Linked DNA regions of Canis lupus familiaris. Each later gene encodes a partner of the first gene's protein in a complex. Links are inferred from orthologs where the notes say so. Each region holds a gene or a part of one and is shown in the gene's direction. Other genes may lie near its edges. The genes, in order: MICALL1 and EHD1.

Region 1 (3,800 bases):
CAAATACTCACCTTGATTCCTGTTGACCCAGAGCTGTTTTCTAGCATGATTCCATTTTGTTCTCTCACCAACCCTGGGAGGTCAGTAGTTTGTGCTGATACACAGATGAGAACATGGAAGCTCAGAGAGGTTTGGTCATTTGTCTGAGGTCAGGCCCCCCCCAGGCTCTGAGATGCTCAGTGGAGTGACACCAGCCCTTCACACCTGGATAGCACTTCATGGTGCGCAGAGGGCTGTTCCCACATGCTCCCCACATGTCCTGGCCAGATGAGCTCCTGAGGGATGGGGAGCCTGGCTCAGTGTGGGTGCCCAGGGAAGTGGGGGCTGAGACAGGCAGGAGGTAGAGGATTCCACTGGTAGGTGAGCCCAAGGCCCAGAAATGTGAGCAGCTTGCTAGGGGTCAGTGTTTGCAAGTGGAGAAACTGGGATTCAAATCTGCTGCAACTTGAGGAGGGGAGGCAGAGGAGGCCAGTGAGGTGGGCTAAGACAATGGTCACCTGCCCCGGGGCCAGCCTGCTGGGATGGGAGTGAGTCAAGGGTAGCCGAGGGGAGGGGGTTATACAGCCAGGAGCCGTCTTCCTGGCAGCAAGGGCCCCAGAAACTGGAAGTCAGGACTTTTGTTTCAATTCTGACTCAGTGACCTTGAGCAAGTCTCCCCGCCACCCCCTGCCGCTCTGGGCTTCAGTTTCCTCATCTACAGAAGGGCTACAGTCTCTCTTCCTCTGCTCCTCTGGGGCTTCGGTGAAGTACATTACCATCGGGAAGCTCGTGTGCACTTGAGGGCAGCGGCTATCTGTGGGGAAGGGGGCTGTTCTAGAACAGGGTGGCTGGCCACTGCAGCCCCACGCCCTTCCGCCCACCTTGTTCTCTGCAGGGCGAGGAGCTGTCCTCGGGCAGCTTGTTGGAACAGGGCACCCAGCGGACCCCCAGCAGCACGTGCGCAGCCTGCCAGCAGCATGTGCACCTGGTCCAGCGTTACTTGGCCGAGGGCAAGCTGTACCACCGGCACTGCTTCCGGTGAGTAGCCAGAGGGGCGGGGGGGGGGGGGGGGCGGGAGGGAGTGGTGGTGAGCCCCTCCAGCACCCCGTTTCCAAGGAAGGGAGCTTCTATGGATTCAGTATCACAGGCACACCTCGGGGCCCTGCATGCAGAGCATCTTGCTTATCCCCATTTTTCCGATGAGCAAACTGAAGCTTAGTAAGGGGAAAAGCCTCGGAGCTCAGGGGTTTGACCTCCCCCTCCAGAGCTCCCTGAGGCTAACTACCTGATGACTATGAAGGGACTGCTATAGAAGTCCTTGAGAAAAAGGAAGGATTTAAAAAAAAATTACAATAACAACTCACTTTCAGTGTGTAGCTCCCAGTGGAAGCTAAGTTTAAAGAAAATGGAATCAGAGCCAAGGAAAAGACAAAAAACTTAGAAAATGTATGAAAACATTTTATATGTTGCAAAAAAAGCAATAAGAAAATAGGGGAAGCCAGAGACTAAGTCCCAACACGCATTCAAATGTGGGTTAGTTGTGTGTCTGTATTTGAGTGTGTGTCTGTGTATATCTGTGGGTGTATGTGTGTCTATGGGTGTGGGTTAGTGTATGTCTGTGTTTCTGTGGGTGTGGGTTAGCATGTGTCTGTGTGTGTGGGGTGTGTCTGTGTCTGTGGGTGTGAGTGTGAGTGTGAGTGTGTGGTGGCCAGGCCTGGAATCCCAGGGGCCTGACTGCAGAACTCAGGTGTCATGAGGGAAAAGTTTCAAGCAGGGGCAACATTATACTAACACATTCACATCTGGCCAGGAGAACAGCATTTTAAAGACTTTTTCCAATGATCCCCCTCCCCCCCACCAGTAAAAAATACATTTGACCCTGCGACCAGTTGTGAATACATGCCTGAATAAAACCCCATGTAAACAGATGTACAACTGGGCCACCTGGGTGGCTCACTGGTTGAGCATCTGCCTTTGGCTCAGGTCATGATCCTGGGGTCCTGGGATAGAGTCTTGCATTGGGCTCCCCACAGCGAGCCTGCTTCTCCCTCTGCCTGTGTCTCTGCCTCTCTCTTTCTCTCTGTCTCTCATAAATAAATAAAAAATCTTAAAAAAAAAAAAAACGAACAAACAGATGCACAACTGGAATTATAGTTTCCTAAAACTATATTCTTGTGTGATACATTCCGATATGTTGTATTTTATTCTGTTTCATAAAAAATATAACCCAAAAGCCTGGCTTGGTTGAAACCTACTCAGTTGATTTCCTGAGCCACTCATGACCTACCTGGGCTGGTACCTCTGTGTGGGGGCAAACCTTTGCTTCCTCTTGCAGCACAAACTTAAGGCATGTTTCACAATTTATGTTGCTTGATTTCATGTGATTTTATTGTTCTGTGCTTTTTTTTTTAAAGATTTTATTTATTCATAGAGACACAGAGACAGAGAGAGAGAGAGAGACACAGGCAGAGACACAGGCAGAGGGAGAAGCGGGCTCCACGCAGGGAGCCCGATGTGGGACTCGATCCCGGGTCTCCAGGATCACGCCCCAGGCTGCAGGTGGCACTAAACCGCTGCGCCACTGGGGCTGCCCTGTTCTGTGCTTCTGACAGTTACTATTTTCCTTCTCTGGGAAGTCTAGGGCACAGGGTCCAGGCTGGTCAATGGGAGGAGAGAGGGGGAGCCGGTGTCCTGGGCTGGGTGCTGGGCTGAGTTGAAGCCCCCACCCCACCTTCTCCCTGACAGGTGTCGGCAGTGCTCTAGCACCCTGCTCCCTGGAGCTTACAGAAGTGGGCCTGAAGAAGGCACCTTCGTGTGTGCGGAGCACTGTGCCAGGCTGGGCCCGGGTGGGCGGTCAGGGACCAGGCCCGGGCCCCCTCTGCAGCCAAAGCAGCAGCAACTTGGAGAAGAAGTCAAGGATGTTGACGGAGGTGGCCCTGGCCGTACTGCACCCGCAGGGGCTGAGGCAGAGGGGTCCCAGGCCAGCCCTGAGGCCCGGCCCCAGATCACCACCAAGCCCCGGCTTCCAAACAAACCACAGGAGCTGGGTGGCTCCCCGGCCGGCCGCCCCACACCTGCCCCAAGGAGGGCCCCTGAGAGCCCAGCCCCGACACCTCCCACGCCCCGGCCCCGGTCCAGTCTGCAGCACGAGAACTTGGCAGAGCAGGGTGGCAGCAGTGGCCTAGTAAATGGTGAGCAAGGGCCCAGTGCAGCTGGGCACTGGCTGGGGTGTGTCTGGTGTTTACATGTGCATGTGCACTGTGAGTATCCGGGGGTTCATGTTCTGTGCCTTGTTTGGTTCCACACGCATGGAGGCCTGAGCTGGGCCCCGGAGACAGATCTGTTCAGACCTATTTGTGCCTTCGAGCTACTCTGTCAGTCTCATGGCAGTGTTGGGGGGGGGCAATGGAGACAAGCACAGACATAGGGGCTTCCACAGAATGTGGAAATCTGTTAAGTCAGGGATAGCAGAGGTTATTGTGGGTTTTGTGGAGGACACTTGGGGGTCAGGGGAGGCTTCAAGGAGTAGTGACACTGGGGCTGAGTTGAGGTAGTGTTTCCATGTTGGGGAAGTGTCCAAGGGACACTTGGGTTCCCCCTTTGGGGCTGAAATGCAGATGGAGTTTCCAGGTTTCCTGGCCTGGCCCCTATGACCATTCTTCACCTGTCACCTTTGGTGCTTATCTCCCGGAGTGCTGGGAGGTGCCAGGTTGTAGGTAGGGTTGCCATGCCCACCTGGAGTCCTGGATCTGCCAGGTAGAAAGGGAGGGCATACTTCCTTAGCTCCTCAGCACCTGGCTCTGCTGCCCAGCCGACGCCCA
Region 2 (4,522 bases), on another chromosome or scaffold:
CCACCCAGGGTTCCCCCCCGCCACCTCTTTTTAAAGTTGTTTTTAGGGGCCTTGTACATAGACCCTTCTCTAAACCAGGCCATTATGGGACTGAGCAGACCGCCTTGAGAGAAAGCAGGTGACCCTTTTCTGCTGAGAGCAATCTCTGCAGAGACCTAGTGGCACAAGGCCAGGTTGCGCAGGTGTGCGTTTCTGAATCTGAAAGGAGGAAACACTGGGAGTGGGGCATGGTTATCATTTCCACAATAAAGGAAAACATTTGAACTCTTAATCTTTTGTCAGGGCCCTGGGCAAAGACAGTGAAACAGAGAAACCAAAAGTGAAATCCTTCATTCATGTTTTACAAAACTCCCACTGAAAACAATCTACTCTGCTCCAAAAACAAGAAGAAAATTAGGACACTTTTACAATCTGGGAATTACTAGATAAGGAAGCTCCCCAGGACCTGAGTGCCAACTCCGTGAAATTGGGAAAACTAATTTCTGTCCCCTTGAGCCTCACGAGAGAGAGAGAGATCCCTTCTTTCAGTCCTTTGCGCTCCTTGGAGAAAGTCAAGTGGCCATATAGAAGGAACGGTGGCTGGAAGTTTCATGTATAAATAACCCAGGAACATTTTGTTTTCAATTTTATTGGGCTGGCTATTCCCAGCACAGAGGACTCTGGGGAGATGTGAAGACCATGGCGGGTCAATGTGAATGCTGCCGCGAGGGAGCTCCCTGAAGCCTCATTCAGGCCATTGAACAACCACCTCTTTCAGGATCCTCAGCCCCAAGCCCTTCCCTGGAACAGCAGAAACTGCATCTCCGGGGTGGACCCCTCAAAGTGTCACAGAGGAGGCAAGTTCTTTGGCTTCTAAGGCTGGCCCAGGAAGTCTGGACTGGGGCCCACCCAAGGCTCCTGATCATCAGCTGGCACACAGCCTCTGGTGACAGCCCTGCCTAGGAGTCTCAATATGTTCTTTTGAGGAGTCCACCAAGAAAAGTCTTGCGGCTTCTGGTATACTGGCATTGATGAAAAGAATGCTAATGAAATCCCAAATAAAAGCAGTAAGTTGGAGACTTACAAGAGTGCCAGCTGGCCAGGCTCTCCAATGATCAGGGAGGCAGAGGGAAGAGGGGAAGGCAACTGACTTAACATTTTATTTCTTCAGAAAGAACTGAGCCTCATCCTACATGAAGTGGCAATCAAAACCTCCCATTTTGCCCTCTCTGGCTCCCACTTGACCCAGCTCCCCAAGTAACTCTACTTGTTCTCAGATTTGGGTTCCCGCCTCCATCGTCTTAGACTGCCAGCCTGCTCTCTTTTCAAGTATAGGCATCTGGCCCTCGGGGCTCTCACATTTCCCAGAAGCCAGAGGTTTGGACACCAGGCCTTCAAGTTCTTAAGTGCAGTTTAGATCTAACTCCGAGGCTCCCCACCCCCTCCTACACTTTGGTGTCCCCGATACTGGTTACATAACAATCACAGTCCCCAAAGCTCTGACATCACCCACTGAAGATTCTCACCAGCCTGGACAGCCAAGGGGGTCTAAGTGTGGCTGGGAATGATGGTGGGGGAATGAGCCTAATGGAACAGCCAGGACCTGGTAAGGGGGAGGGGGGATGCACAGGTCAGCATAAAGGTTAACTAGTAGTGACCCTGAGAGGAAAGCAGAAGTATTTGGGTTTTTTAATTTCCCCTAAGTTCCCACAAGATTTCATTGTTGCCCCACATTCCCCCTCCTCCCCACACGGGGAATTTCCGATTTCACTTCCTCAAAACTCAAGCGGCCAGAGGGCCTCCACTTCCTTTGTACCCCTACCCACCCTCCCACAGGGTGGGGTGCAGCCTCCTCGGAGAAGCCACCTTTTCTTCCCATGTGTCAGCTGTCACGTGGCTTCCACTGCCGCGCCCACCTCCCAACCCCAGCACCCCGCACCCCCCCGCCCCGGGGGTCCGGCCCCTTGCTGCGCCGCCAGATTTCCCCAGGGACCGCCTACTCCCGCCCTGTTCTTTCCCCAGTCACCACCCGGCCTGGGATGCTCTACCCCTCGGCCTCCTCTCTCCACTACCTCGTTCCTATCTCTCCGTCTCCCGAAGCAGGTAAAGCGGAGGGGCAGGAAGGAGGATCAGGTGAGGGCGAGCAGTTGGGGGGGGGGGCGCGAGGCCGCCGGGGGAAGGACGACCGTTCGCGGGGCGACCGCGGCTGGGGCGCGCAGTCGGGGAGCCGTCTCGAGGGCTCCGGAAGGCACGTAGGCCGCGGGACCGCTCCGCGCGGGAGCCCCGCTTCCCGCCTTCCCAGCCGCAGCGCCTCCGCGAGCCGCCCCAGCCCAGGAGGGACCAAAACAGGTGCGGTTGCCACGGCACCCGGGCCGGGGGCGGGGCGCGGAGCTAGCGGCGCTCGCGATACTTGGAGCCGGCCAATGGGAGGCGGGGGAGGGAAGGACGTGGCACGGGGTTCGCGGGGGAGGCTCCTCCCGCCGCCGCCCTCCCGCGGCCCCGCGCGCGCCCGAACGCGAGGCCGGGCCTATAAAGGCCGCACGGCGGGGCGCGCGCTCCACTGCGCAGAGGGCGCTCCGCGGGCCGTGCCGGGCGCCTGCGCAGTGCGGGCCGCTCCCCGCCCCCCCACCCCCGCCGCCCCTCCGCGCCTCCGCCGGCCGGCCCGGCCCCGCCTCGGCTCCGCGCCCTGCTCGGCTCTCAGCGCCGCTCTGCCCCGCAGCAGCCAGCCCCGCGCCCGGCAGCATGTTCAGCTGGGTCAGCAAGGATGCCCGCCGCAAGAAGGAGCCGGAGCTCTTCCAGACGGTGGCCGAGGGGCTGCGGCAGCTGTACGCGCAGAAGCTGCTGCCGCTGGAGGAGCACTACCGCTTCCACGAGTTCCACTCGCCCGCGCTGGAGGACGCCGACTTCGATAACAAGCCCATGGTGCTCCTCGTGGGCCAGTACAGCACGGGCAAGACCACCTTCATCCGGCACCTGATCGAGCAGGACTTCCCGGGAATGCGCATCGGGCCCGAGCCCACCACCGACTCCTTCATCGCGGTCATGCACGGCCCCACCGAGGGTGTGGTGCCGGGCAACGCGCTCGTCGTCGACCCGCGGCGCCCCTTCCGCAAGCTCAACGCCTTCGGCAACGCCTTCCTCAACAGGTACCCGCCCCTCGCCCCCCGCGGAGCCGAGGGGGACCCCGGGGCCGCACCCAGGTCCGGACCCTACCGCGGCCGCGGCCTGCCCCCGGCTCCCGCTCGTCCTTTGTCTCCGAGGCCCTAGCGAGCCCCTCAGCGACCGCTCCCCGGGACCGGGGCCCCTGCCGCTTCGCACAAAAAGCGCATCCGGAGGTCTCCGGCCCCTCCCCCGCTTTTATCGCCTCCAGAATTTTCCAGGTTATCAGTTTAACTCCCAAACCTTCCAGCGGATCTCAACCCCGCTTCCCTCAGGACCGGGGTCAGCGTCGGGAAGGTGAGAGCGTCCCGTCTCCACCTCCTCCCAGGGTCGTCCCAGACTGGATGCACCTGATTCATTCAAGCCAACCCCTTTCCCCTCTCTCCTTCAAGTGCCTGCTGCCGAAGTGTCATGGAAAAATACGTGAAACTTTTAGTTATTCCCTTTGCTGCTGTGCTGTGCTTCCCCCGTGACCGCTGGTTTTGTGTGGGAGGGAGGGGCAGAGAGGATCTGCTGTGGCCTGCTGTATTTGGGGCAGCCCATGAGGTCGCAGACAGAGGGAGTGTGAACACTTCTCCTTGGAGGTCAGCTCTAAAGGGTTTGTGCTCCTTTAGGGGTTGCAGGAAGCAGCCTCAGGCTGTACCACTGGGAGCCCTGGAGTGAGATCTGGGCCCTGAATCCCTCACTAGAGCCTCAGTTTCCCCAATTAGATGGGTGAAGTCTGCCTCATGATCTGGGTCCTCCTCCCAGAGTCTAACCCTCCTGATGCTGGGAATGAAACACTTTGGCCTTCTTTCTTCTTTCCAACAATCAAGTTCACTCCTCTGGAAAGGAACTTGTCCCCACCCTTACCCCCAGCAACCAAAGGACTCCACAGATCTGCTTTTCCTGCCACCACCCCCACCCCCCATTCAAGGAGTGACTCCACATGCCTTTCAAAGTCTGTGTTGGGGGGAAGAGCCTAGGAAAGAATCCTGGACTCCTGTCTTCCAGGTCTCCACCCTGTATGATCACATTCCTTTCCAGACACTGTCCAGCTACACAGGGTGAACCAGCTTGCTCCTGATCCAAGCCGGGGGCCAGCCTGCCTCTGTGCACAAGAGCTGACTTTTAGCAGAGAAGACAGGCAGACTTGTGTTTTTTTTTTGTTTGTTTGTTTGTTTGTTTTTGCCCCTTGGAGGCATTTAAGCCTGTCCACATGTTGGATGGCTGAGGGCATTTGTGTGTCACAGCCGGAGCTGAGTAGAGCCCTTCATGTGAGAGGCATGGCCCTCTTAGCCTTGAGCCCTCCTCTGGAGAATACCTGTGTCTGGGAATTACTGTGCTTATAGATAGGCGACTGGCCCAGACTGTCAGCTGGTGGGCGCCTTAGGATCTTGTGCAC

What was found.
Region 2: the proteins of MICALL1 (region 1) and EHD1 are in contact, whole or in part, in an NMR structure (PDB 2KSP), measured with the Homo sapiens proteins. The link is inferred for Canis lupus familiaris from reciprocal best matches to the Homo sapiens genes MICALL1 and EHD1. Residues at the interface, in NP_203744.1 of Homo sapiens: Lys422, Tyr424, Asn425, Pro426, Phe427, Glu428, Glu429; in NP_001269373.1 of Homo sapiens: Gly464, Ala467, Lys468, Met471, Asn478, Leu481, Gly482, Trp485, Lys486, Lys492, Asp493, Gly494.

Annotation. Positions count from the first base shown.
Region 1 is NC_049231.1:27,729,504-27,733,303, reverse strand, and holds part of MICALL1 (MICAL-like protein 1), read left to right. Parts: intron 1-874; coding exon 875-1,017; intron 1,018-2,724; coding exon 2,725-3,170; intron 3,171-3,800. UniProt on the Homo sapiens protein: Lipid-binding protein with higher affinity for phosphatidic acid, a lipid enriched in recycling endosome membranes. On endosome membranes, acts as a downstream effector of Rab proteins recruiting cytosolic proteins to regulate membrane tubulation.
Region 2 is NC_049239.1:52,795,839-52,800,360, forward strand, and holds the start of EHD1 (EH domain-containing protein 1), read left to right. Parts: upstream 1-1,551; 5' UTR 1,552-1,557; coding exon 1,558-1,585; intron 1,586-2,001; coding exon 2,002-2,082; intron 2,083-2,698; coding exon 2,699-3,125; intron 3,126-4,522. UniProt on the Homo sapiens protein: ATP- and membrane-binding protein that controls membrane reorganization/tubulation upon ATP hydrolysis. In vitro causes vesiculation of endocytic membranes. Acts in early endocytic membrane fusion and membrane trafficking of recycling endosomes.